5 linked regions of the Oryzias latipes genome follow. The protein of the gene in region 3 purifies or fractionates together with the protein of the main gene of each other region. This does not show direct contact. Links are inferred from orthologs where the notes say so. Each region holds a gene or a part of one and is shown on either strand. Other genes may lie near its edges.

The links.
Region 1: the proteins of nek2 (region 3) and cdc27 purify together in Homo sapiens (affinity purification with mass spectrometry; 6 studies listed by BioGRID and IntAct, with this or other methods). This does not show direct contact. The link is inferred for Oryzias latipes from reciprocal best matches to the Homo sapiens genes NEK2 and CDC27.
Region 2: the proteins of nek2 (region 3) and anapc1 purify together in Homo sapiens (affinity purification with mass spectrometry; 3 studies listed by BioGRID and IntAct, with this or other methods). This does not show direct contact. The link is inferred for Oryzias latipes from reciprocal best matches to the Homo sapiens genes NEK2 and ANAPC1.
Region 4: the proteins of nek2 (region 3) and anapc7 purify together in Homo sapiens (affinity purification with mass spectrometry; 3 studies listed by BioGRID and IntAct, with this or other methods). This does not show direct contact. The link is inferred for Oryzias latipes from reciprocal best matches to the Homo sapiens genes NEK2 and ANAPC7.
Region 5: the proteins of nek2 (region 3) and anapc2 purify together in Homo sapiens (affinity purification with mass spectrometry; 4 studies listed by BioGRID and IntAct, with this or other methods). This does not show direct contact. The link is inferred for Oryzias latipes from reciprocal best matches to the Homo sapiens genes NEK2 and ANAPC2.

The regions. Positions count from the first base shown.
Region 1 is NC_019866.2:73,700-79,893, reverse strand, and holds the start of cdc27 (cell division cycle protein 27 homolog), read right to left. Parts: upstream 3,909-6,194; 5' UTR 3,123-3,908; coding exon of another isoform or gene 3,096-3,122; intron 1-3,095. Other genes in the region: somatotropin, read right to left, coding at 4,428-4,490, 4,559-4,705, 4,779-4,922, 6,188-6,194. UniProt on the Homo sapiens protein: Component of the anaphase promoting complex/cyclosome (APC/C), a cell cycle-regulated E3 ubiquitin ligase that controls progression through mitosis and the G1 phase of the cell cycle.
Region 2 is NC_019873.2:15,539,459-15,545,011, reverse strand, and holds part of anapc1 (anaphase-promoting complex subunit 1), read left to right. Parts: intron 1-1,158; coding exon 1,159-1,224; intron 1,225-1,348; coding exon 1,349-1,486; intron 1,487-1,662; coding exon 1,663-1,806; intron 1,807-3,816; coding exon 3,817-3,877; intron 3,878-5,336; coding exon 5,337-5,392; intron 5,393-5,553. UniProt on the Homo sapiens protein: Component of the anaphase promoting complex/cyclosome (APC/C), a cell cycle-regulated E3 ubiquitin ligase that controls progression through mitosis and the G1 phase of the cell cycle.
Region 3 is NC_019882.2:6,330,597-6,336,913, reverse strand, and holds nek2 (serine/threonine-protein kinase Nek2), read right to left. Parts: upstream 3,641-6,317; 5' UTR 3,411-3,640; coding exon 3,315-3,410; intron 2,955-3,314; coding exon 2,737-2,954; intron 2,656-2,736; coding exon 2,415-2,655; intron 2,283-2,414; coding exon 2,200-2,282; intron 2,115-2,199; coding exon 1,988-2,114; intron 1,915-1,987; coding exon 1,680-1,914; intron 1,138-1,679; coding exon 1,083-1,137; intron 981-1,082; coding exon 913-980; intron 649-912; coding exon 443-648; 3' UTR 153-442; downstream 1-152. UniProt on the Homo sapiens protein: Protein kinase which is involved in the control of centrosome separation and bipolar spindle formation in mitotic cells and chromatin condensation in meiotic cells.
Region 4 is NC_019867.2:25,467,751-25,471,897, forward strand, and holds the start of anapc7 (anaphase-promoting complex subunit 7), read right to left. Parts: upstream 2,801-4,147; 5' UTR 2,679-2,800; coding exon 2,578-2,678; intron 889-2,577; coding exon 702-888; intron 1-701. Other genes in the region: ubiquitin-conjugating enzyme E2 G1, read left to right, coding at 3,498-3,540. UniProt on the Homo sapiens protein: Component of the anaphase promoting complex/cyclosome (APC/C), a cell cycle-regulated E3 ubiquitin ligase that controls progression through mitosis and the G1 phase of the cell cycle.
Region 5 is NC_019866.2:2,381,515-2,387,718, forward strand, and holds the start of anapc2 (anaphase-promoting complex subunit 2), read right to left. Parts: upstream 3,688-6,204; 5' UTR 3,479-3,687; coding exon 3,380-3,478; intron 2,981-3,379; coding exon 2,731-2,980; intron 2,669-2,730; coding exon 2,347-2,668; intron 2,275-2,346; coding exon 2,142-2,274; intron 2,082-2,141; coding exon 1,901-2,081; intron 1,826-1,900; coding exon 1,706-1,825; intron 1,354-1,705; coding exon 1,236-1,353; intron 1,129-1,235; coding exon 950-1,128; intron 879-949; coding exon 737-878; intron 667-736; coding exon 591-666; intron 520-590; coding exon 316-519; intron 99-315; coding exon 1-98. Other genes in the region: E3 ubiquitin-protein ligase RNF25, read left to right, coding at 5,044-5,063, 5,279-5,350. UniProt on the Homo sapiens protein: Together with the RING-H2 protein ANAPC11, constitutes the catalytic component of the anaphase promoting complex/cyclosome (APC/C), a cell cycle-regulated E3 ubiquitin ligase that controls progression through mitosis and the G1 phase of the cell cycle.

The sequences.
Region 1 (6,194 bases), on a different chromosome or scaffold from region 3:
TAGAAAACAGTTTATGTCTTAAATAACTTAAAGGAAAGTTTCTAGCTACTTGATTTTTTTTTTTTCTGGGAGAATTATATTTTTGTTTACACCACATTTGCACTAAATGGTGTCATTTATTTTTAACAAAAACACTATAGTTTGTTCACAGAATTAGTATCTGATTCACAGCTATTTTTTAAATAATATGATGGCTATGGGTTTGTTTTTCAAAAGTTAATACCAATGTGCCTGGCATCTACTGGACTTATTCATTTTCTATCGTGTTTACAGCAATTTTGTACTAAATAATGGCTGCTGTTCATGTTCACTATTGTTTAAACCAAATTGTACAAATATTTCCAAAAGAAAATTATCATTGGTTGTCAAAGACAGAGTGTTACTGATTTCAGCAATGCTACACAAAAGTCTGTTATTCATTACACCAAATAGGACACACGACACGTTGTTTATTATCATGGTTTTTAAAAAATAAATGGGGAAATATTTTCCAAAATAACCCTTTCAAATTCTTTTTCTTAAAGTTTATATATCGAGCGTAATTAGAGACGAGATTTTCGCCATATCGTGATAGTATCGTTATCGTGAGCAATGTATCGCAAATCGTATCGTATCTTGAGGTACCCTGTGATTCCCAGCCCTACTTTGCGCTACAATGAGTCTTCCCTGTTAAACGTCTTGAAATCACAACGAACACACATTCAACAGTTTTTAAATCTTCTTGATGAAATCAAAGGTCAACAGTTTAGTTCTCCTTCAAGGTTTGTGTTTCTTAACAGCCAAACATCCCAGAGTTTGGTCCAAGTCATCTTTCTAATTGAAACACTTTTCTAATAACGTCTGGATTATTTTAGATGTTAAATTTAAGAAGAAGCAATAACAACATTTAAGGAACAGGATTAAGGTGAAGTGGCCAACAGACACAATTAAACTAAATTGAAGTGTTTCAGAATCAGTGAATGATAATAGTAGATTTGAGACCAGTTCTACTGCAACTAGTAACAAAAAGTAAAAATGCTTTTATGGTTTCTCCTTTAAGTAGCGGTGCATAAAAAAATAAAGAGAACGGGTTAAACTTTAAACTGAGAATCAACGCGACTGGGTTCTAAATCTGAGTGCAGCTAAGAAAAAAACAGTCGGCACAGGTTGCTGTCGTTCTGCTTTGGCACAGGTTGCTGTCATTCTGCTTTGGCACAGGTTACTGTCGTTCTGCTTTGGCACAGGATACGGTCGTTCTGCTTTGGCACAGGTTACTGTCGTTCTGCTTTGGCACAGGTTACTGTCGTTCTGCTTTGGCACAGGTTGCTGTCATTCTGCTTTGGCACAGGTTACTGTCGTTCTGCTTTGGCACAGGATACGGTCGTTCTGCTTTGGCACAGGTTGCTGTCGTTCTGCTTTGGCACAGGATACGGTCGTTCTGCTTTGGCACAGGATGCTGTCGTTCTGCTTTGGCACAGGTTACTGTCGTTCTGCTTTGGCACAGGTTACTGTCGTTCTGCTTTGGCACAGGTTACTGTCGTTCTGCTTTGGCACAGGTTGCTGTCGTTCTGCTTTGGCACAGGATACGGTCGTTCTGCTTTGGCACAGGATGCTGTCATTCTGCTTTGGCACAGGTTACTGTCGTTCTGCTTTGGCACAGGATACGGTCGTTCTGCTTTGGCACAGGATACGGTCGTTCTGCTTTGGCACAGGATGCTGTCGTTCTGCTTTGGCACAGGTTACTGTCGTTCTGCTTTGGCACAGGTTACTGTCGTTCTGCTTTGGCACAGGTTACTGTCGTTCTGCTTTGGCACAGGTTGCTGTCGTTCTGCTTTGGCACAGGATACGGTCGTTCTGCTTTGGCACAGGATGCTGTCATTCTGCTTTGGCACAGGTTACTGTCGTTCTGCTTTGGCACAGGATACGGTCGTTCTGCTTTGGCACAGGTTGCTGTCGTTCTGCTTTGGCACAGGATACGGTCGTTCTGCTTTGGCACAGGATACGGTCGTTCTGCTTTGGCACAGGATGCTGTCGTTCTGCTTTGGCACAGGTTACTGTCGTTCTGCTTTGGCACAGGTTACGGTCGTTCTGCTTTGGCACAGGTTACGGTCGTTCTGCTTTGCCACAGGTTACGGTCGTTCTGCTTTGGCACAGGTTACGGTCGTTCTGCTTTGGCACAGGTTACGGTCGTTCTGCTTTGGCACAGGTTACTGTGGTTCTGCTTTGGCACAAGTTGCTGATGTTCTGCTTTGGCACAGGTTGCGTCATCATTTTTAAATATTAGATATTTATTGAATATTAGATCAGAACTTTGATCTACGTTTAAAGGCAAATACTTTTTTAAAGCTCTAACATTACCATACCCTCCTGCCTGATCAGGGACCGGCACACCTGAGCTGTGACGTCAGTCGGCGCTGGTTACATGCAGTATTTCCGTTTACCAACAGCTAGCTAAAAAGCTAGTTTAGAGCTAGCTGGTTAGCCGACGCTAACCATGCCCCGCTAAGCGTGATATGTTGCGGGTGCCGTGAGGCAGAACTGTTGCGGGAACCCCACAGCGAACCTGGAGAACGGTTCGGTTCAGTCTGAAGCTACAGAACCTTATTCCTGCCGTCGAAAGCGGGTTGTTAAGGCGCTAGCCGGTTAGCTAGCAGATCTAACGTTCCAGACAAGTGTTCCAAAATCCTGAGGACCACCTCTAGTCTATCCAAACCTGAACTAAACTTGACCCAGTGACGGTCTCACAGCGGGGACAAATCTTTGTCTTCTCCGCTCGATTCTTTGCTGCGGAAGCTACCAGGAGAGAAAACGTTCCAGCCCGTTTACGTGTCAACGACAGCCGGGGGACCGGCGTCCTGACCAAGTTACGCGCCATGGAGCGGATAAACCGGCCCTCTACGAAGCTTGGCCCGCAGACCGAAAAGAAGCACACCGCTCAGCCCCGAGCAGATGCCGGGAAGGCGCGGAGAAAAGGCTCCGGGCGAACTTCGAGGCCTACGACGGCGGAAGAATGCTGTTTTAGCTCGGGCTGAGCCTGAGCGAGCCAGATGCTGAGGCCGGTGACGGCTAATGTTCGTATTCCGGTTCGTGACAACGACCTAACGGCGTTTTCTTACCTGGACAGGTTCCTGCAGCACTGTCATCCCGCTTTAGGACTCTGTATCTCTGCTCCAGGGACCTCTCTCCTGCTTTCTTCACGGCTTTCTTCAGCTCTATCTCTGCGAGGAGCCGATGCGGCCGAACATTTGAACGTCCGACCGTTACCTTCCGAGTTTTGCCGGAAAACGCCGAGCCATAGGCCTAGAACACACTGCCCTCTAGCGGCAACAGCAATAGCAGGTAGAATAGCTGTTTGACGCCTACTGCTGGCAAGTCTTGGTATCACTTTTTTAAGTCAGTAGCGGAAAATGTCATCAGCTGTTATGGAGCAAAATCTGCACCGTGTTTGTTTGTTTGAAGGAAAGATTTTTCATTCGACAAAACAAAAGTTAAAACACGTTAATGTTAAATACTAAAATATGTCACGAAATAACATTCAATTTTTTTATCTTTTACAAAAATATTCTTTTACACTTTTTTAATAATCACCTTAAAGTTTGCATAACTTTTTTAAATGTATAAATTTGGTGTTGTTTTTTTTTAATTCTTTAATTCAAAACTAAAATTTACTGTTTCAAATATTCCTTTTTTGAGTTTTGGATTAGCTGCATTATTTTTTCTGTGAAACTTAACTTTTCACTTTCAGATCAAATTGTTTAGTGTAGGTCCAAGCGGAAAATGTTAATGAAAGAGAAATATTGCTTTCATATCTTGTAAAGCATGCTTTCAGCAAGCAGCTGTTTGTAAATGAACCTCAATCTCCTGTACACTGAAAAGTTCTATAGGCAGAAGATGGACACCCTGGTGGAACATTTTTTGTAATTTTTTTCTTAATTCTTTTTTTCTATTAGCAAATATACATTTTTTTACAAAACCTTTTTCGTTCATAAAGAACTGAAGCCCATGGGTTTTGTTGGTTGAAAGGGTAAAAATGACATTGACGGGTCTCAGAGAGATAAGTGAAGACTTGTGACAGATAGTAAAAAGTTTTCTGTCCCGCTCCTAAACAGCTTCTTTGCTGCAAATCAGAGCATTTATGAAGCACATGAATGTTAAAATAAAAGCCAAACTTAAATGCTGCAGCTTCATTGCAGCTGAAAGCTGGTGAAGCTGCTCCTACGATGAGGTCCCCTTTGCCCACCCTGTCATGTAGAATAAGACAGGTGGGAGTATGGAGAACACGAGAAACTCAGATTTTTATTCCATGGTTTCTTTAAGCTTCCTGTTGTTTTCAGAAAAAGAGACACTGAGAATGCAACACAAACTTTATTATGACACCTCCTATTCCTGCTAATGCTAACATAATTATTTAAAAGCGGAGTCTATTGTCATGGTGGGGGGCAGCATGACTACAGGATACAGTTTGTCTCTGGAGACAGTCGACATTTAGCCACAGTCAGGTAGGTCTCCACCTGCAAAAACAGACATTTCTTTGTCATCATTGTCATTATCATATCACACTTGCTATCCTCCTTCTCACCTTATGCATATCCTTCTTGAAACAAGCTAGCAGTTCGTAGGTCCGCCGCAGTGAGCCATCGGCTCCAAGTCCATGATAATAGTCTATGTACTCCCCCAGTGGAAGAGACAGGGTGTCTTCATATATCTCAGCCACATTCTGATTGGCCTACAGTTCAAGTAGTAGCACAATTGACGTCAAAGCCAAAAGTCATGTGTGGCAGGTTTGTGCATGTACTCACCCTGATCAGAAGAAGAATTCCTGTCTTGAGTTCAGCCAGTTTGGGTGAGATTTGGTTCCTTGGAGCAGAACTCCCAGACAAAGAGCGACTGGGTAACTCCCAGGATTCCACCAGAACATAGCAAATTGACAGCAGCTTCTGAACCTGGAACCAAACACTGGTATCAATGAGGAGTAGCTGTGTTCTTCTCATCAGTTTTAACTGTTACTTCTTTACTGGGATGTTCTGTCCGAAATGGGTACTTTGCCATGCTTCTGCATCGCCTCTTTTTATTTATTCAGTTAAACAAGAACAGTCAACATTAATAAACTTTTTAACAAATGAACCAACAGAGCTCAATGTCAGCTGCAGTCCCTGGGGAAGAATGCCAGCAATGACAAAAAGCAAGAGTTAGGGGTTCATAAACAAATGTTACCTTTTGTCAAACAACAAAACAAAACATGTAACCTCTAAGAAACACTAATCTAAAGAATTTGACAAAGCCAAGTGAGTTGGCAACACACACATGACAGGAAATGATAGAAATACACAGCTGATCAGAGATGATGGACAAAGTCCTGATTTTCACTTAACAACCTTTAGGATTTGACAGGAAATAAACGCCAAAGCTTTGCAGATAGTATTGCATGATAGTCAAGGTTCAAGGATAGCAAAGGTTGGTACACGGTAGTGAATTGGTACCATCACTTGGTAAAGGTTATGGATGTCCCTCACGGCCCGATCAAGTGATTTTAGACTCAATTGAAATTGGATGCTGTCTCCCTATCAGGATTGGAAGTTTATTTCTTTTGTTATTTTGATCAATGTTGTGTATTTCAAGCTTGTTATTTCAAATAAATGTCAGAGTAAAAGTCTGCATCTCATGAACAGATTACGACTTTTTACTGCCATCGTAGCGGAATAAGGCAGCAGTTTAAGCAGGAGGCCAATGGCTAACAAAAACAGCTGCTTAATGTTAGCAAGATATTCACAGACTCTGATTTCGGGCCTCAAAAACTCTTGATAAACAATTAAAACTGACAACAAGTGTCTCTTGCTTTTTGTCTTAACGCGAACAACGACCTACAAAGTCGTTTCAACAGAAAAAAGATCAGATTTTTGTGTCCTTGTAATGGGATTGGGATGAGATCTCCTGCTGCTGACAGAGACGGAAGTGAGACACTGAGGAGTGTAATCTCTAAAAAAAAATGAAACTAAAATAACAATTACATTGATATGATTTAGTCATGAAAACTCATAATCACATTCAAGTTACAACAATGATTTTGGAAGAAAGTCTTTGCTTTTATACTTCAGAACAAAACTGTTCTGAACATCCTAAAACTACAGTCACCAAACTTTCCCACATGATTCTTTATCACCTTACTATCGTAGTGCAACAATTTCTGTACACAAGTTTCAGAACTGACCGGACTG
Region 2 (5,553 bases), on a different chromosome or scaffold from region 3:
TCTTTTTAATGTATTTTTCAACATGTGTTATACCTGCTTTGTTACTGACTAAGGTGAGGGTATTAACATTCATGCTACGGTACTTTAAAAGTGAATAAGATCACCTTTGTTTCCTGATCTGATGCTTGGTTTGTACTTCAACAATTCTTCCTAATACAGCACGAGCCCGTGCCATGTGGCCTGTAGAAAACATCAATAAAAACAGTTCTACTTTGGTTTTGATGGAATGAGGTGAAAGGGTTTAAGTAATTTATCCTCAATTTTTGATTAGAATTTGTAACTGTTGAAATTCAAAAGTTGAATTGGTTTTGACTAAACCAGGAGTCTAAAACCTTTAACACTAATAAAGGAGCAATTTAGGCCACTTTCTCACTAAAACCCAACCAGAACCAAAATCCTGCTTCACCATTAAAAATTTTTTAAATTCTTTTGTAGCCAATTTATTTATAAAATAAAGCTTCTAAATATAAACAATAGTTACATTTTAACAATGTTAGACTTTTTTATATATAAGACTTTAAAATTGTTTTACTTTTGAAAGTAGCGCGTACAGGTTCCTTTCAAAATAAAATACACCCAGTGTCAAATAAGATCCTCCTGCTGCTGCAGATTTACTTGAATTAAAAATGCGAAAAAGCGAGTCCAACATGGTATTTTCTTATTTTTATGACATTGGTGTGCTGCCATTCTTTTATCTTTGTTTACTATAGAAAACAACAATGACAGTTAGAATTCTTAAAAAACATCTATACATATAAATACAATTACAGTATGTATTTTAAGAACTTTTCCTCTGAATATTAACTAGATACTGTTGTGCAGCAGAAAATAAGATTGTGCGCTGTTTGTCTATTCTAATTATAAATCAATTCAATAGTAGATTAAACCTTTTAACCAGTTATCTATCTGACATGTTAAAAATCTAAGCACAAAAGGCAAAACTTAATTAACCAAAAACAAATTAACCAAAACTGCAGACCCATTATTTGCATTTTTCTTTAAAGCCAAAGAGCCACAATAAGTGGATAAAAGAGCTGCATGTGGCTCTGCATGTATATGTTTTAGACCCCTGAGCTGAACAATCTGCATTAAAGTGTTGATAACTAAGTTAGATTGTTTGACTTTCTTTGAGAACTGCATGTTCTTTTTCATCCTCAGAGTATAAATGCCATGTTGGTTCTGGAGGCCTGTGGTAGCTTGGTTCTTTACACAGGAATCACCAGGGTAAGTGTTGCTACATGATAGCAGTTTAATACAAAGATGCTCACATATGAACCGTTCCTTTAAATCATTGAGACGGGATCTCTGTGTTGTGGTCTTAAGTTTGGTTTGGTTTTGTGCCCCCTAGGTCAGTAAAGTGTTCGTCCCTGGCCTTCTGTCACCTTCTTTCAGTTTAAGTAGCCAGACCCCCCATCTGAGCACACCTCTGGAAAATGTTAGCACACCTGCTAATTCCAGCCACAGACACATTCAGAGACTTGAAGAGGTACCAGCTTATGCTGCAATTTTACTGTTTGGTTTTGCCAATATGCTTTTGGATTTTTTTCTTTTAAGTTACGAATTAAAGTATGGAAGTTTGATTAATCTTTTCCTTTATGTATATGTTATTTTCTCTGAAGTCACTAAATATTATTAAAATGGTATGATGTCTGTTTTTCTTAGGACAACATGCCTTCACCCCTATCAGATGGTAGAGGTCCAAACATCAAACACCATGAGGCTTCATTTTTAGAAGATTACATCTTTCAGAAAGCTACACCTAACATTCAAACTTTGCGGGATCCTGTCTTCAACAGAGTGACTCTGGTAGATCTGTTTTTGTTGTTTGGATTAGTATAAAATCATTTATTTTTTATTTTCTTTAAAAAATCTTCCCTCCCAGAGAGTTTAATTAATTACGGTAGTTCTCCTATTTTCTAAAAATTGCCAAATAATATCATTAAGATCTTAGAAACCAAGCTATGCATTACTTTTACTTTTGAAATAATTCTATTAATTTTCAGACAAACTTTTGTTTGTATGGAAAGAACTCCTAATTACTAGTTACTTAAACTAACCGTGCTTTGGTCTGTTTGTAAAACTAGTTATAAGATCTGCTTTACTTAACTATCGGTTTTGAAATTAAATTTGAATTGATTCAGTATTTAGTCAGACTTCCTCAGGCGAAAACAAGACAATGCAAGGCTGTATTTTTAATTGTTTTATTAAATGTTGTTATTTTAATTTCTCATTTCATTTCAGATGTAGCAATTTAATTAAGGAAGAAGTAAAAGTAATGTAGAAGAGAACAAGAGACATAAAGAAATCAAAACAATTATTTTTTCAAATACATTTCTATATCTAGTTTCTTTTTTTCTTTATTTTTATTTTTATCTTGATGTGCCATGGGGAGTTGCATAGTTGTCTATCTATTAAAAACTTAAGTCTATTACTTTTCATAGCTTTGTTTATATTTCTTAAAAGGATATAATTTATTTCCAAATTTAGTATTTGTTGCACTCATCCTATTCAGTTAATTGTTATGTTCTGGAATAGAAATGTTTAACTGAGGTTGATCCTTTTTTTCTTCATAAACATGTACATATAAAAAGTATTTTAGTAGTAGTGAAAATTAGACTATACCAAAGGAGGGGAATTTCCCATATTTTTTATTTTACAACCTACATAAAACAGTAGTTTTTCAACGTTTCCTCTCTCGTCAGCACCATGTGTCACGTGCACATTCATGTGAAATTCTGACCAATTTGTGAATGAGAACCAGGAAACAAATCAGTGTTTGTGGCCTCTGGGTTCGTTGAGTCATTATTCATTCCTTAAAGCCCCAGGACCGTAGAAAATGACGCTGACACTTCTTGCTCGCACACAAATTGCCATAAAATCTTCAGTGAAAAACTGTCAAACAGTCTTCAGGCTTTTGCTCTTTTGACTCTGTTATTTGCCATCTCTTTGAGGCATTGACACATCAATCTGATGACTAATTGTTGCCAGTGCAACTCAGTTGGGATTTTCAGAGCATGGAATTTTTGCAGATGGATTCATTCGTTTTGCTTGGTTTAAATTGCCGGAAACATAAAATGTTGACACTTTAGGATCCAAAGTGTCCTTTCTGTAATGTTAGGACGAATTAATTTGGTTCTTTATTTTATAAACATCCACATTTCTCATTAAATAACCCAACTCTCTGCTAACTTTTAGCATTGCTCTATTATTCACTGAAATATGTATTTTAAAGTAGTATCACACCAGAAATTTATAAATTCAGTAAAATATCCCCTTTGGGTTGTTAACAGTTTACCGTAGTTAGAACAGTTATTACTTTGTGATAAGAAATTATCATTAAGCTTCTTAAAGCAAAGAAATGAACAGCTATAAAATCAGTGAAACTACAGCTGGGGTTACCAAATGGGTGGCCAAATGAACTTTATGTGCAATATTTTTCCATAATTATGTCTTAAATAAAATCTTATTTCAATTGTTGTTTCTGTTACCTTGTTAAAGATTTATTTTACACATAAATGTTTTTTATAAAAGCCTTGACTACTGTTTTCATGCTGTGGTATTCCATCTGCCATCCAATCGGATAGTTTCTTACACAAGACATTTCATTTTTCATGTCACAATTGGAAAAGGACAATTGTTTAAAATCAAATTGAGGAAGGAATAATTCAATTTAGCTGCTTTGGTTACGGGCTGCACTTTTAAAAAAGCAGAATGCTGTGACATGCTGCTTGTAGAAACTAAATTATCCTGTCATGACATTGTTATAAATCTGAAATATTCTTGGCAAACTCATCTGCGTTTGTGTGATGTTTCAAGGAACTGAGCAGTGGTTCGATGCTGAGGATCTCCATCCCTGAGATTGCCACGTCTGATTTGGGTAAGCGAACACCCACGCTGGGAACACAGATGTATTTTAGACTTACTGGTTTTTGTTGGTTGGGAATGGTATCTGTTGTTAAAATGTTTAGTTTTTCCATGTGACCACACACTTACATGACTGAGTCACAGCACTCAGGTCATTGAAATTAGGTTTGAGAGCCGCTCTGTGTTTTCAAAATGACGTATAACCCTGTTATATTGAGGATACCCTTAAAAGCCTCTAACACACAAACACAGATGTGCATGCACCAAACCATTATTAATGATTAATGCACAATCCAAGTGTCCATATCTCTGATAATTTTCAATTAACAAAGGACTGTCACATCTTTTACTGTTAATTATTAATCATTATTACAAAAAAAGAACGTTTTTGCTGTTGTATAGTTTTTGGGTTTGATGAAATGACTTATATTTTTGGTAATGATCACATGTTGTTGTTTTTATAGAATAGGTACATCCTTTATATTTTGAAATGTTCACCCGTATCTGAATCACTGTTACTCTCTTTGGGTGATAGTTTATCAATGGATTATCTTTATTAAACACTGTGATGTGTGCACATCTATGTGTGTGCACTCTAGGCAATTTAAAGAAAAATAATTGAAAAAGCATATACACAAAGATGGTAAAATCACAATTAAATAAATGAAAAGATACTTTCTATGGTTTGTACATGCTCATTTAAAATCTTTCTTGGTCACTTTGAGTTGTTGTCTCTGCCATCCTTACATTCTTCTTAGACTTGCCAAGCACTGTGCCTCATTATTTAGTAATCGATCGTGCGGATGAACCTTCCTCCCTTTAATTAAATGGCATTTATCCACCTATCCCTTGACCTTTCCTGCTTTGGGCGTCTAATTAAGATAGCCGGGTAATGTGGACTACAGAACTGATTGGTCAGAGATGTAAGGGGACATAGGTTGTCTAATTATTCTTGTGGAGATAATTTTTCAATTTCCTTTTTTTGTTTTATCTCAAAGTTAGGTTTAGATTTTTTGGCACAACTGAATGGATGTCATCAAAAACTGTGTATTCTAAAATCTCTCTGTGTATATAAATTCTATGTATATTTATTTATATATTCTAAATATTTGTTATTTATTATGGTATTTTCAATTTCTGGACATATAAATCCCAACTTTGAATGAATATAAATTAGGTACCATTAACACAAAATCTGCAATGGCTAAGCTTTAAAATAAGATGTGAATGACCATTTTTGAAATGAGGTGGCAGAAAGTCACACCCTATCTGGATGGATATTTGGTTTTTTGGCTTATAACTTCTATATTAACACTAACTTAAAATTCAAATCCCTAAAGTAAACAAACTGCATTTTTAGGAAAGAAAACTGAGTATTGCTGAAACAAACATAAAGAATCCTATAAACCTAAAGTATTTGAATCTGTCTGATTTTCTGCCAATTTTTTTTTTTTGCTCTGAATGTCTTTCAGTGAGGAACTGCCTTCAGGTGATTCGCTTTATTCTTCCCAAGGAAGTAGCCATGAAGGTCAGTGGAATTTGAGTTGCTGCAATACTGTTGACTAAAATGTGTTTTTTGGTCTATCCTGAATCATCAAAACTTCCACTGTGCATAAAATATGGAGGAAAGAATTTTTGTTTTCTGAAGAACTTAATGGTTCAATAAGCTTTCCTTGAGGAGTGTGTTTT
Region 3 (6,317 bases):
GACCTCTCGTGGAGAGCAGACGTTAAATTGTCATTGGACTATGAGATTTACTGTTTCTCTTTTAACTCGTTTATGTTGATTGCTTCAAAGCAACATTTAAAATCATTTATTTACTCTTTGAATTCGTCTGTTCATAATAAATAAAAAACCCATTTGTGACATTTTTGTTTATTAATTTTCAACAGTGGTTCATAAAATCTTTTTTTTTAATGAAAGGGTTGTTAAAACAGCAATAATGTGCACACTATTTTAACACTTTCAACAGCTGCCATTGACATTTACACAATCTATAAATCATTTAAAATATAGTTGGACAACAAAGAGAGCAACAACAAAACTTGAAATACACAAGATAAATTAGCTTCACTAAAATGCCAAACAATTATTAAATAAAAACATAAAATCCAGTTGTAATTCAGTCATGAAGAACATCAGGATGCGCTCAGCGTATGCCGAGCATCTGCCTGCTCTTGAATTGGCACATTTGCTCCATCTCGCTGAGTTTTTGGGCGCGTAGCTTTGCAGCCTGCAGTCTCAATTTCATCAAGTCCTGAGACGTTGCACTCTGGCGACCCTCTGGCTGCTCATTCTCTATGTTTTCACCAGCAAAGTGGACCTTCTTCTTCCCAGGAGACAAAATCTCCGCATCTAAAATCAAACAGCAGGGATCTGATTAACACGACTTGAAAGCGCTTTTTAATAATCAGGCAGATTTCTTTTGTCAAGAATTTGGTTTGAGCTGAGAATGGCTTTAAAACTTGTTTATTGAATAAAAGTTCATTGTTAGATTACAAAAAAAAGATACTTTATTTACTTGATATAAACACAATAAATATTTCATTCATTCATAAATTCATAGCCCAGCTGTATCTAAGTTCAGTAAGTCCAGAGGTCTTTGTTGGATTCCCCTACCTATGTCTTCGAGAAAGATCAGGTCCTTCTGCTGCTGCAGCTTGTAATTTCTCAGTAAACTCTCTGCTCTAAAACAGAACATAAAAAGTAAGAATTGACTCAAGGATTTTACACGATAATTCAAAAACCAGCAGTTGTTACATTATGCAACAGACAAAAAGAGAGACTACCTTGCAAGCCTTTCGTTTGTGAGCTGTTCACGAACACACAGCTGTTGCTCCCTTCCTGACAACAGAAAACACAATTTATTTGTACAAAAAGAGAGATTATTGTTGAAAACAAAGTTTAGAAAAAAACACCTTGCATTTCAAACTTTTGTGTGTGGACAGATGTGATGGCAACACTTTGGTTGAGAGGATGGATAATCACGTTCCGACTCCTCAAGCGTTTTATAAGGAACATCAGAAACAAGTACAGCAAATATAAAATCTACCAGATTGAAGCATTTGTGAATAAATGTATTAATCAAAGATTGCTTCGAAAAGGGCTGCTTATAATTATTAAGAGAGCAAGACACCCCAAACCCCTTTCTTTGGGATGAACCCATGCGTGGGAACAGAGAAATGTTTTCTAGTTCTTGTGCAATTTGGCAGCGGAACAGTTCAAGGCCTCAAATGTTGTTTCACAATTTCAGAAAAGTATCTCAGACTCTGATAAGTCAAATCCAAAGGACTGGTTTCTCATTGAATGGAGGCCGCTGCACTCAGAATAACCAAAGAACTATATTCTCCCCTTGATTTAGCCTCAGAAATAACTTAAAGCCTTACTCTCCAGCCTCTCCTCGCGCTCCTTCAGTGCTTTCTCCCTGTCCCGCAGAGCCTGTTCCCTCCGCCTGAGCTCCACCGCTGAGACGTGGGGCGCTTCACTCAGCCTCTGCGGGGGGCTGCTGGAGTCTGCCGACTTCCTTCGGGGTCGAACTTCTGACTTTCTCTGCTCATCCTCGACCACGACACTCAGCAGACTGCTCTGAAGAATAGACTCCACAGACGGCCTCAGGTAATCCTGTCAAAAAGCAGACTGGTGCTCAGCAGATCGTCTATTGCAGGATGAAAACAATCAATCCTTTATTTCAGACCTTCAAGTTGAGCATTCTGCTGATAAGAGAGTTCAGTTCCTCGGAATAACGGAAAGGAATTCTTCTAAACTTTCCTTCCCTGATCTTCTCTGCTAACTCCTTCTGGTTGTAAGCAGTGAATGGAGGCCTCAAAGAGGAAAAAATCCAAACATGAATTCATTAGATCAAACAGCCGAGGGAGCGGATGGAAAAGCTTAAAAAAAAAAACTTACGATAATGCGCAGAGTTCATACAGCAAACATCCCAATGACCAAATATCTGACTTTTCATTGTATGACATCCTATTTATTTGTTCCTGAATGAATAGAAAGTGTAAAAAACTAATCAATAACAAGTACAATATTTTTTTTACCTTGTAAATGTCCTTTAGAGATTTTTTTTAGAGAAAAAATAATTTAAAAAAAGCCAAAAATGTTAAATAACTTACTGGAGACATGTAGTATGGTGTGCCAACAAATGTCTTTGCAAAGCTGGTGTCGTGGTTCAGAATCCGAGCTAAACCGAAGTCGCCGAGTTTTACGTTCTGGTTTGCATCGAGGAAGATGTTGGCTGGTTTTAGATCCCGATGAAGGACGGTGGCTCTGCCGTCGCGCCGCCGGTGACACTCCTTTAGTGCCAGAGAAAGCTGCACCATGACTCGCAGGATAAACTGCTCCTCCAAGTACTTCCTGCCATTTAAAAACAACACATGATGATGCAGATAGAAAGAGGATGACTGCTTTTTCTTTCTTCCCATTTGCTCTATTTACCTCTCTTTGATACACTTGCTGATGAGACAAGACAGATCGCCACCTTCACAGTACTCCATGATGATGTACAGCATGGTATTACGGCGGTCTATAATGCGGTCGTAGTACCTCACAATGTTTGGGTGCTTGAGTTCCCTCAAGAGGTTGACCTCTGAGACCAGCATCTGTTTCTCACACTCAGCCATGGTGCCATAATCGAGCTCCTTCCACACAAGAATCTAGAGAGCAGAGATGCTTTAACCATCAAGAACATGTTCATCTTAGTCCTTTTTTCAAACTTAAAGTTCAAGTGTTTGAGTAAAAAATATTATGTTTTACTGATAAATGACAAAAAACATTTAAATGCTACATTTCCTTGATACTGAATTATGTTTAAAGATTTTTTCTTGTGAAATTAATGTCAGAAAAACTGTAATTTCCCAAATATTAAAGTACATTTGTGTCGTTATTGATTTACAGAGAAGCAAGTCATTGTTTTTTTTTTCATGACTTATCAATTAGATAACATTCACACCGTGTATTTATGTATCTTTATTTAAGAAAATACTGTATGCGTGTCTTGTGCCATAAATACTCACTTTCCCGTCACTCTTTCGTTTTATTTTCTGGCATCTTCCATAGGAGCCCGAGCCTATCGTGTACAGCACTTCGTAGTCATCAACACAGGACGGCATCTTGCCTTCGTCAACCGAAACCAACGTTAAAAGTTTCCAAACTTCACGTTAGCGTCAAATGTAAAGATAGGCCTTAGAAAAGTTGAACATCTAATTCAAGTAGTTACTTAAATTATGTTTTTTGCTCATCCAGATAATAAAGAAGTCCAAAGCCGATCTCCTCAAAACACTCGTGTTCTTTGGCATCAGTTGAAAACACAGGAAGTGCTGCTTCTCCGTTTAAATCGGTGCCAGAATTCTTACCTCTAATTGGCTCGTTCCCACGGGCACGACGGTCTCTGATTGGTCAAACAAGGACGCATTTGTTCACGTTGCTAAGAGCTGAAAACCCGCGAGATTAGAGCGGGAAGAAGCATGTTTATTCCCTGTCCACTAGAGGGCACCAAAAACAAGCAGTAGATTTACGGATTTGTTGACATATAATTGAACATACTAGATACAAATAAAACGTTTATTTGGGGAACGTGGGGAACAATTTGGGAAACAATATTGCTACAAAACACTTTTTTCGTATTATCCACATATAAATTGATTTTTCAAATAAAGCCAAGTGCACTTTTTTCTTTTGCATTTAAAATAACTAGTCACATGAGAACAATCCTTCGATTGAATTTAATAAATTTAACCCTGTCGGTAGCTTGTAAATGTACTTAAAGGTCACTGGCTCATCCAACAGCATTTTCTAAGCATGCATTCTAAGATGGATGGGAAGCAGATCCTACAGTCATCGGTCCCTTGATTTGACCTGCAGGGCAGTGAAAGACAGTGACCTCTCACAGTGCTCCTACATCTGCCATGGCTCTGAATTCACTTCATTGCTTCACTGCAGCAGGATGCCTTCTGGCACGACGGTTTAAGGAAAAAAATGCTGGCGTCACATTGTATTTTTCAGACTGAAACACAGAGCGAAAACATTCAAACGGCTTTGGATCATCTCTAGCATTGTGCACCTTTTCATCCCTTTTCTGGTGCTGTGACAGATTGACAGGTGGGAAGTAGCATGTTGGTAATTTCCAGCCCGTGAAATTGAAGCGTGACTGGAGCAAATCCTAACCACGACAGCTGGTTTTTGTGAACGTGTGATCCGTACTGGAGATGGATGCAGCGTCTGGGACAGTGGTCTAGCCTCTCAGTGGGGCAGCCAGCATAACAAGTCAGATTATCCCCACAACTCTGTCTGCTCTTGAGAGAGTGTTGGACCGGTCTGCCAAAAATCCCTCCGCCAAAGGTCACTGTTTCAAAAAGCTGGACATCAGCCAGGGACAGTTGTGAGGTGGAAGAGAGAGGAAGGAGAGACACCATTGGAAAACTGGCAGCTGAAGACAAGACGTACAGGTGGCTCAGGCCACTGTGATGTCAACTGCCCCCCATTAGAGGGAACGAGCAGAGCCCGAGCGACAATAACCCCCTCACCTGAGGCACAAATTGGTGTCGCAACAGTCGTTGTGACTTAAGACTCCTTTTTCTGGGTCCAGAAGCAGGAGCAGGAAAAGATAGCTCTATGGTTATTGCTACTTTTTCTATTTTTGTTGAATTTCATACAAAAATTGTGTTTTTTCCCACTAATTTATTTTTTGTATAAAAATACAGGGAAAAAAAAATCACAACTCAGGTACGAAACCTAAGGCAAACTCCAGTAGAGGATGAACACACTACAAAATACACACTCACTGGGGGGGTGCATATCGTACTCTCAGACTTAAACTATTCGTTATGTCAAGTTTGCCATGTTGACTTCTTCCCTCCTTATTGTGTTTTTAGACAATAATACACTAACTGAATCCTGCTTAGAGCTTTAACAACCTCTGCATCGTTGTTTAGAAATAAAGCAGTGTCGTCTGCAAACAGCTAAAGGAATGGTTCTCCATTGCTGTCATGAAAGAGGAGACAGTGGCAGAAGTTGTCAGTCAGACTTCCTCCCTACTTTTGCCAAATTATCCCTTGGTTGTGTTAATATTGTGTTTACTTTACACAATAGTTGCACAATGACTCTAATTTTTTGCAAAGTTTGATAACAGTTTCTTATTTTCACTTCTTTTTCCTCCCTTTTATGTTGATTTATTTTCCACACACATTTGGTTTAACTAGCTGGAAACGTGCCTGCCTGCCGTCTCAGAGGATGCTGCCGCCGCCGTCCATGAATGTCCACGTGTTCTGCAGCTTCGTTTCTCTGCACGAGGAGGATGACATTGAGCAGGAGGGAACACCAAACAGCCTGCTGATATTTTGGAAACCTTGATGCATATTTAATGTCATTCTCTTTTTGCAATTCGAACTTATCTGTAGGTGTAAGAGAGTTAGAGCTGAGGAATTAAGATTCTTCCTGGTCTGTTTGCAACAGGAACCCTAATGTTTACCTGCAGATCCCCTCCATCCGAGCTCACAGTAACAAAAACTCTAAAAAACAGTTTGAACTATGAAATGAGAGTATGCAGAAGGAGAATGTTTTGCATGGAACATGGCAAAGACAAAGTGTAGATATTTTCCTTCATTTTGGTGAAAGGTTTGACCAGCCGTCTGAACACAGTGGTGCAACCTTTGTGCTCAGATCGTTTGAACTTCCTTATAGGACCACGGAACTGGAAAACGTCTTCATTTTAATACTCAAAGCCGCTGGGAAAAGGCTACTGCTTCTCTGAGTGTTGATATTTGGAACCAGAACAACTTTAGTTTCAGGTTCAAGGTCTTCTTACTCAAACCAGCTCAGCTTGACAGAATCAGCTGATCTTCAATCTCCAAGTCTAATAAAGAGCGGAACACTTGTTTGGGTCATTTAGTTTTATTCCAGCACAGGCTGTTGGTGTTGTAAAATGGCAGCGCAAGTTGGACTTAAAGGAGAAGTACAAAATGGAAAAATACAGACAGTTTTAGTAAAATCACTTGGAATCCTTATTGGGACAATTTCCT
Region 4 (4,147 bases), on a different chromosome or scaffold from region 3:
CTTTCAGCCCCAACCTAAACATATTAGTGCAACAAAAATAGCTAGCAATATTGGAACTATCCAACCATCTTAATAGTTTTGATTCAGATGCCAGCTTGGAGGGGGAAAACAAAGAAGTACACGGATCTATTTGTCTGCAAGTGGATGTATCAGATTGGAGCGGAGCACGGAGCTTGTGGCCGTAACAAATACAATCTTTTTCAAACGGCATTCTTTAAATCTGCTCCTGATTCACCAAGATTTGAATAAAGAAGTACTCAGAAATGCTTTTTTAAGGTTAATTTTTCTTTACATATGTCCTCCATCAAGAAGAAAATGCCACAAAAAAATGTAAAAACTGTTTTGAATATTACCTGAAGATGAGGAAAAACAAACCAAGAGGTGCCCTTCAAGAGTCACTTGAGATAAAGACGTCTGCTGCCAAAAATGTGTCTATGCAAGTGATTAAAAGGTAGTTTCCCCACTCTAGGATCAGTATTGGTCATAGATCAAAAGCAGCAGGCCAGCAGACACTTTCATGGTCTTCAGTGTTATTATTTTCTTGCATATATTGTAGGGATGCAACCATTAACTTCTGAGATCTATCTATCTATCTATCTATCTATCTATCTATCTATCTATCCATCTATCCATCTATCCATCTATCCATCCATCCATCCATATTTTTTTTTCCTAAATGTGTTGAAGCATAAAGCCCTCACCTGTGTCTGCATGTTGGAGGCTGCTCCACCAGCTGATGTGCGAACCTTGGATGTTTTGCTGAGCACCTTCTTCTGCTGCAGCGCCATGCTGTACTTGCAGGCCGCATTGCGATATTCCTTATCGTGAAAAATCGCATCGGCGTGGTAAACCAGCAGTTGGTACTTCTGAGCCGGTGAGAATAGTTCACTGGAGACAAAAACGAACAAGTTTCATTTAAAAATAACTACAAAGCACAATACCTCTATTTTATGGCACTAGCTTCGCATTTAAAGTGTGCAACGTTACGAAAACAGCAGCTGTATAAAAAATTACATTTTGATTACGGGGAGTTCTGGGGGGTATTCCAGAAGCATGTTTAAACTACCCTGACTTTAAGCCTGAACTCTGGCTGAAATCCGCCTGAACTTGCTTACTCTGGGTATGTCGGTTCCAAAAAACCGGATATGAGTTAGCGTAATTACGCTCCACTTGGTAACCCTGGGTTAATGCACGTGCACAGCAAGTACATAAAGACATTTTCAATGGATTGCCGATCTACGGAGTCACCATGGAAACGCGTGGTGAAAAAAAGAGAGCGCTATACGTCAGTGAGACGGAGTCGGAGATTTGAATGACGGCGTATGAAGATTAAAAAAGTAACACGGCTGCATCAGCAAAAGAGAGTTTCTGCTTGGAGAAAAAGAACGGACAAAGTAAACACAAGAGTTTCTATCTCATTTCCATTGTGATGTGTATATATATATATATATATATATATATATATATATATATATATATATATATATATATATATATATATATATATTTATAAAACTTATCCAACTTAAATGAATTAATTCAATTGGTAACAAGAAATTGAGTTAAATATATTTTTTACGTCTATCCAACTCAATATTTTTTTTAACTCAAATTTACATATTTATCTAACTAAATGTCATATCACTCCAATTCAATTAAATGTTTTTTCATCTTAATTTATTGTACTTCTTGAACTCTCATGTGTTTAAGTTTGAGCCTGCAGATATGCTCATTTTTACAACAATAAAATGCATGAATCAAAACAGATTTGCAACATGACACGTAACTGACTTAACAAAAAACAAAAAAGATTTATCTCAACTAAAGCAAATAATTAAGTTAGATCAATGTAACAAATGTTATCTTTCCAACATCCATATGTGGTCTTATCACCCTCTATGGTGGAAAAAGTATTATCTGAGCTTTTTCATCCACTAAATCATCTTCAAATGGACACACCATGCTGCCTTCACCTCTCTGAAAACAAACTAACCTTCAACTAAACCTGTTCCAGACCGGGTTATGTTCAGAGCATGAGTTGCTATGGCAACTTGACATACTGTGAAACAGACCTCCACTGTTGGTACCGAAAACTGAGATAATCCGCTTCATTAGCCTTAAACTTGCCGTGGTAACTAGCATAACCTGCTTTCTGGAATACCCCCCTGGTACATCTTCTTGAATATAAATGTGGCGAAAGAACAAATAGTAACATCTAATCAACTCCGGAAAATGAAAACATTTGATTAATGTAAATAAAGAAAACATCAATACATGTGAACAAAGTGGGGGGATTTGAGTTCAAACATCCCTCAATGACACTTCACCAAACTGTTATTGCCAAAGTCTCCACATGGCTATGTAATGGAGTGAAGGCTAACTGTATGCATCTCATAACACAAGCTAAGCATGTAGAAAGAAGCTGTGTAGGCTGCGCATTCAAACAATAGCGTAAAGACTACGACAATATGTTTTTTTCATATATATAAAACTGTCGCGACAACGGAGGAAAACCACAAAACACTTGCGTAGAGACTCATTCGGGAAATAGACGGGTCCCAGTCAAGCCATACTTACGGATTGTTATTGCTCATCGTCAGCAGCAAACTGCTCACAATGCGAACATTGGAGTGAAGGCCGGCCGAAGCCATGTCCCGAACGTGATCAATAACATTCATTTTACCGAAAAAATGCAGGCTCTTCTACAGGTTTCGGTGTGAAGTTAGAACTTTTAGCTAAAAAATATCTAGCCTCTGATGTATTAAATATGGCGCTCAGCAGCCTTCCTTCCGTGCACTGCTGCATTTGTAGGTCTGTACAAATTAGTTTTAGCAGACGATTCACGAATGACAGGTTAAGAGCGCAATCAATTCACCCTCATACAATCTTAGTATTTTTATTTAAATCGTTTTAGTTTACACATTCATCATGATGAACGTAAATTTAAACATTTGTTACTTTGTTTTTGTTCTTTGTAACAGTCTTCAATGTGAATTTGATATTTCCGATGGTTATGAACGCATCTTCTGCTTTTCACTGTATGTTTGTATTTAGCTCAAAAATCGACTTTCGCGTGAATAATTGAAAATTAAAGGCTTACTTTATAATTGTTTATTTTTTTCAACCATGTATTATTATGTTCGTGTGCCGAACGAGTTCTTCAAACATGTAGATGTCAACAAACATACGGAATTCAAATATCCAAAAAGCCCCAACATAAAATTTCTAAATTGAAAACATTTCAAACAACGAGGTATTCTGTGTATTTTTAATGCAGTCCTTTTGTAAGTCTAATTCATTGGCAGAAAGATATTTTAACAACACGAACGCGTGGTCAGCTTGAAGCACGCATGCGCACTTAAGCTAGCACCTGAATCTTGTGTCAAAACACGGAGCCAAGCGGCGGCAGCAGCAGCAGCATCGCAGGACCTCCTCTCTGTGTGCCAGAAGATATTTGTCTATACAGACAGTTTTTTTCTTAGTTACGTACGCGTACCATGACCGAACAATCAGCATTACTTCTTCGAAAACAATTGGCAGGTAATGTGATCGCATTCTTTGATATTAAAATTACAGGGAGAAAACAGCTAGTTATGTAGCAGCAATAGGCTAATGCTAGCTTTTGTGAAGCTATGTTTACGCTGTAAGATTCTGGTTAACAGGCGCTTTAATGACCGAAATTATCAGGACGTGAGCAATCTACTTGAGTTAGATGCCCATTTGTGTGGCAAAATTATGATTTCAACGTCACGTTGGAATAAAAGATAAACTAAAACCCACGCAGACCAGCAACGCCGACCGTCCTAGCAAGCTAGCAACTTCGGCGTTATTTAGCGGGCAGAACAAAGGAATAATGAATTCAGGGGCTCACAGCCCTTTTGAGTTTAGCTTTACCAATGATACACATGAATACCGTAATACGTTGGGCAACACACAAACATATATTTTCTTAGTAAACGTAATTGAAAATGTGAAACTCATTATTTAGTTATGTAAGATAATATCTAATCACTTTCTCTGGTAGGATGATAGCGGTACCCGTTGGCATTTTTTAAGTATCGAACGAAGCCCACACAGGAAAATAAATGCGCTGCTTTTATATTGACTAATTTTAAGAGTCATCACCAATATAATCAGTGATGTCATT
Region 5 (6,204 bases), on a different chromosome or scaffold from region 3:
ATGGGCGACACGGTGAGGTTGGTCAGGATTCGGTCCTCCAGCTCCACGTCCAGAATGACGGATCCCAGGTGAGGCTTCCAGCTCAGGGTCCTCATGGCCTGAAGAGCAGGAGGAAATGAGGATCCAAACAGAACCCCGTTCAGGACAGACAAACTGGGTTTGAACTTTAAACGCTGCGGTCGCATCAAAGCTGTGGCTTCAAGACGAGCAGAAAATGAACTTTGAGAACAATCAGATTAAATATTAGTTCATAAAGAGGATCCACAGCTGTCTGTCTGTAGAATCCTCCAGAAAAAACAAACAGCTGGACTCCACCTTCAGTTTCTCGTATCTGTGGGTGTAGGCCTCCATGGCCCGGCACACGACGGGGGGCAGCTCCAGCTTCTCCTCCTTCAGCGTCGGCCAGAACTCAGAGGACAGGATGATGGCGGACAGAGGCAGCGGCGGCTGCTCGTCTTCGCTCAGCCGCGACTCCTCCTCCCGGATGTTGCCGTTGATCCTGCGGGAGTCCGCCATGTCCTGCAGAGGAGCGCCGCATCAAACTGCAGCTCCTGGCGGAGGAGAGTCCAGCTGCCGAGTGTGGGGGTTACCTTCAGCATGACCTCGCAGTAGTGCATGTGAGACTCTCCGAAGCGAAGCTTCAGCAGCTCCACGTTCCGGATCTCCCTGGAACAGAGCAGAGTCCAAAATGACGAATGTGAAGAAGAAAATGAACGGATGACGGAGGTGATCAGACCTGGCGGTGTTGTAGTTGAGCTGCTGCAGCAGGCGGTCGGCCAGGACGCCTCTGTACTCGTCGATGAAGATGTCCTTGCTGCCGTAGATGCTGACCAGCAGGCTGATGATGTCTGAGGAGCGCCGCTTGGAGCCCAGCTTATCTGCAGAAGGGTCAGAGGTGAGCCGAAGGGCCGCAGCGGAGCGACTACCGTCGCACCACGCCATCACCGACCGGGCACGGCGTCCGTCGGGTCCGGGGTCCAGTCCTCCGGGTCGGTGCCTTCGTCGTCGCTGTCCTGCATCTCCAGCGTCACCGGGTCTCCGCGGGACAGCTCGGAGGCCAGGTCGGTGCAGCCCTCCGCATCTCCGGTCAGACCCGCCACGATCTGCCGCACCGTGTCCTCCCGAGTCCTGAACAGCAAGAGGCAGCGCTGCGGTTTAGACGGTTCAATGAACACATTTCTAACTGAAGCGGGTTTCCTGAAACCGCCTGTCAGACCGCAGACACGCAAACTCACCTGAGGTACTTTCTGATTGGCTGACAGGCAACCTGCAGGATGACCATGGACGGGTCCAGCTCTCTGAGGGCTTTGATGGCTGAGATGTAAACGGTGAGGATGTCAGAGGTGTGAACTCCTGCACACAAGTTGAGGATGAGGATTATTTTTAAGAGAAAAGCATTCAACAGAATCAGGAAACCTTTGGAGGATCCAACAGGACAGTCGGTCCTCCACAGGTTCTGGAGAGTCGTGACAGAACTTTACACCCACTGAGCTACAGGTTTTATTTCCCCTCACTGCTGCTAAGCCGCCGCTCAGGTAGAAACCGGCATCTTGGGTACCGACGACCTGCTGATAACGACCGGCTTCTGTGGTACCGGCCCGCCGCTGACATCTACTCCCTGCTTAGCTACATACAGACCTGCTGCTCGGTTACCAAACCACTCGGTTACCAAACCACTCGGTTACCAAACCACTCGGTTACTTACCCGGGTGCAGCAAACGGCTTTCGAAGGCAGATTTCAGGGAAGTGAGGAGCTGCTGTCGCTGGTTAGTTCTCTCCAGGCAAAACTTGAGATCCTCAATCGCAGCTTTGGATTCTGGGAAATCTGCACGAGATATGGAGCAAAGATGTTAGACAAAAACAAACAAAAAAAAAACTCCGTCGGGTTGGTGAGAGTCACCTCTGATGATGCTGAAGAGCTCCTCGATCCTCATGTTGACGTAGATCCTGCAGAAGAACTGGTGCATGTGGCACCTCCACTGCTTCATGACCGGACTGGCCAAAGATGCTGGTGCCGGACCGTCTCCCGACCCCTCACAGGCAAAGACTTTCCCCAGCCAGCCGAGCACCAGCTCCAACCACTGCAAGGCGGAAAGGTTCAGACGGAGCCGACCAGGGAGCTGCTACAACGGATGCCTCACCTCCTGGAAGTTCAGCAGGAAGGAGCGCTCGTACTCGCCGCGGCAGTGCTGCTCCATCCGCTGCTCGATGAGCTTGTGGAGGATGGAGGTGACGGCCTCTGAGCTGACCCAGTCCAGCAGCTGCAGTTTGGACCTGCAGCCACAAACAGCAGGTCAGACTCTGACAGACCACAGGAGCTGCAAGGAGCTTCGCTCTGGTTCTCACAGGATGTGGCTGAGCTGCTGCAGCTGCTCCAGGGCCTCCAGACACCAGCACTGGTGAAGCGGGACCCCACAGCCCGGACAGGCCCCTCCCTCAGAACCATCCGGAGCCTCTGCCCCATCCTCGGCGTTCCCCTCCTGCTTCATGTAAACAGAGAAGGTCCGGCTGTAGAACTCCAGCACACGCTCCTGCAGGACAGGAGATGGCGAGAAGAGCAGGAGCGCTCTGATGGTCGTGAAGGCCTGCTCCTTGAGCCCTTTGGGTCCCGGCCCGCTCAGACCACAGCGGCCCTCCTGCTGCCACGCCCCCAGCTTCTCCAAACCACCTAAGGAGCAGACGTGTCAGAAATGTCCGACAGCAGTGGACCCCCCGGTGTCTGGGTCTTACTCAGGAAGGGTTCCAGGCGGTCCAGCAGAGTCCTGAAGGCGGTGAGGAGAACCCAGGCCCGGCCCCTCTCCTCCAGCTCGTTCTCCGGCTGCTTCAGTCCACACCAGAACTCTGGAACCACGGAGGACGACAAACGCATCTGCAAGGTCTCCAGCAGCCACACCCCGAGAAGAGGAGCCAGACCCCGACGGCAGAGCAGAGCCAGGCCGTCCACGAGGTTCTGATCCGACACCGAGAAGCCAGGAGACACCTGCAAGAGAACCCAACGCAGAGCCTCAGCATCCGTCCAGAAGCTGCTGTACGTGCTGATGCCAGAGCAGATCCTGGGCTCGGATTGGCTTTTACTTTTAGTTCAAACACAGCAATGAAGAACTTTGAACCAGTTTTTTCTAAACTCAGGTGTGTTTGAAAGGAGGAGCAGATTTAAAAACGCCTTCAAAGCTTCATCTGTGACTGATATACAAATGAAAATATCACGCATATAGATGCAGTCTAATGAGTCTGATAATGATCCACAGATTGTTTTAAATGTGTGAGATTCATCAAAGTGAACTACCACCAGATTTGGAGACGTGAATAACCTCGATAAACTGACGTCTCACTCATGGTTGGACTCCGACACTGAGGTTCGGGGTTCGGGTCCACTCACCAGAGCCGCAGAGACCGAATCCCATGCAGCCGCGACACCCTGGACCGGTTCGGGTCCAGACATTTCCACAGACTCCGAGTCTTCCATCATTTCCTCCATTTTATGGGTTTTTCTCCTCAATTAACAAACCGGGCGGAAGTCCAAACAGGCGCGTGCCGGTTTTAAGAGGTTTAGTTGAAGGTACAAATACACATTATTTCTCCAAAAACACAGTAATATACAAAGAAAAAGATACTATTTATTAACAAAACAAAACCACGTGACCCCTCCTACTGAATGGCGGGTTCAGATCTTCTTTGACTTCTTCTACTGTATTTAGCGCTGAAAGATGGCAGTGCTGCCACCTACAGTTGTTAATGCGCATCGTTCTGTTTTTTCTTCGTTGTTTTAGTTGTTTGCATGATGTACGTGCAAAAAATTTAAAAGTTGTAAAAAAAAGTAGTCAAAAGTATTTAAAAGAAGTCTGTTTTGCATTTTGCATTTTTGTGAACAACTACTGCCCTCGTGTGGACAGAGTGGAAAACTGCAACACGTAATGTTTGTAACAGCAACTAAGAGCTGGAGAAAAATTATTTACCAAATTAAGTTAATCTTTATGTAAAATAATCAACATCGATCAAATTAATTTATTCAAAATTAAATGTCTCAGGTTGTAATAAAAAAGCATATTTATCTTATCTTATCAAAATTGTAACATTTACTAAAGTATTTACGAAATAAATACAATTAAATTAATAACTCAGAAAAAATGATTATCTTGTTGAAAAACTTAAAAAAATCAAATTTTACCCGATCAAAAATGTTTTTACGTGTGAGGATGGGTTATGACATGATATCTGCCTCAGTGGGCAAACAGATACAACAGAACAATGATTTATAATGGAAAAACACACAAAATGTGATCACAGTCAAAATCCTTATCGCCCTCTTGTGGACAAACTGGTGAACTGCAAGACAAGTTACATCCACTATGTATTTTCACGGAAACTATTTATTTTCACGTTTTTGAAAATGTCTCTGCATTTTCTTTACTGAATAAAATATAAGTTTAAATGTTAAAATAAACAATTAATTTCTAAATAAACTGTAATTTTTTTACCGGTAATTTGGTTTAGCAGGAACCAATTACCCTGTTTAAAAAAAAATTCTAATTAAGTTTGCAAACATCTTATCTAAGTTTTCCCTATAGACAGACGGATTAGTGGTTAAACATAATCTGTCTTATTATTAACTGTGTTTGCTTTAATTAACATATCCTTGCTGTTGCACCAACATCAAAACTGTTTTGTTCGTTTAAAGAAAAAACAAAAATTATCTGCCGACAAACAGCATTTACTTCCTTAAACGTTGTACTGAGCTATTTCCAATATGACATTAGGATTTCATATTTTAAATGTAAATGTTGAAAAAAATCTATACTTCTATTTTAACTTAACCTGAAAGAGGAGGCTGTAGTTAACCCCCGGAGCATAAAAATCTAAGTCTCACTTGTTTTAAAATATCAGCATTAATGTGATGTCACACAAACAACATAATCGTTGTATATCAAATTGTTTTTTACCATTTTTCTCACTGTGAAAAAATAAAAAATATAAAAATAAAAGCGTGCTTTTGTTCTGAAAGTCAGATAAATGACGTAACTTCCGCTAGTCGGCAGCAGAAACATGATGGCCGTGGAGAGCGAGTGAGTGTCTCAACAGTTCCTGTGATTTGTCTTTAAACGACTTTAAAAAAAATCAAACAGAGATTATTTAATGTCGCCTCACATAATCCGCTCTTTAATCTGAGTCACGTTTGTCCCGTTTGTCAGAAACGGGACAGTTAGCTAAAGGAAAGCTAACGAACAGCTGCTTATGAAACAGTAAACACTGTCTCCAATCAGCTGTTCTGTGTCCGCAGTGTTCAGTCGGAGATCGAGGTGCTGCAGTCCATTTACCTGGAGGACCTGCAGGTGGACCGGAAGCAGGACGGGTGAGGAACCGGATCTGCGTGCTTCTTTCTCGGTTCTTTTTCCTTTAATCTGTTATAATATGAAGATTTCTCGGCACAGAAAAGTCTCTGAGATGCGAAACGCTTTGACAAAAAACCACAAAGCAGGTTTTTATGTTTCATTTCCGGGTAAAATCGTGAAGTCTGTCTCTACAATCCATAAAAAAACAGGGAGATTCCACCAAAATGGAGTCCTGCTGTGGATCTGTCGGTTCCGTTAGCTGGATTCTAACCAGTTACGCCTCCTTTCTGCAGTTGAACAGAGGAGTTCTGGTGGACCTCCTGCAGAGAGGTGATGCTGCTCCTCACTGACTCCAGGGGAGCTGCTTCAGAGTTTTTGTGTCAGGGCTCAGATGGGGATAGGATGCTGGTGGTCTCCATGGCAACAGCACCTGCAGTCAGCTGTGATGCTAAAGTGCTGAGAGGAGAAGCACAGTTCGGTTCAAACGGAGAGGAGAGGAGAGGAGAGGGGATGGAGGGCAGAACCATCGGGTTTGTGACCCAGAGGGTCTCTGACTTCCTCCCATCTCTGGAGCTGCTGCTGTCAGAAAGTGTTGGGGAGGGGGCGCGGTGCAGCTCCTCACCGCCGCTCTGGACTGTGACCTTCGCCGTCAGAGATGAGAAATCTGCGGGGATCTTTTGGATCTGACTGCTTCCTGTTTGGACAGAATAGGAGAAAACTCCTGTGGGGGCGTGTGAGCGTGGGCTGGAGCTGGTGGGGGTCGGATGGGGGTTTGCTGGCTGCTCATGACCGTTGAGCTCCTCAGACGACGACGTGGGTTTGAGGCGGCTGTGAGTTTGTGTAACCGCTTTTCGTCTCCGCTCTGCGCTGTGCT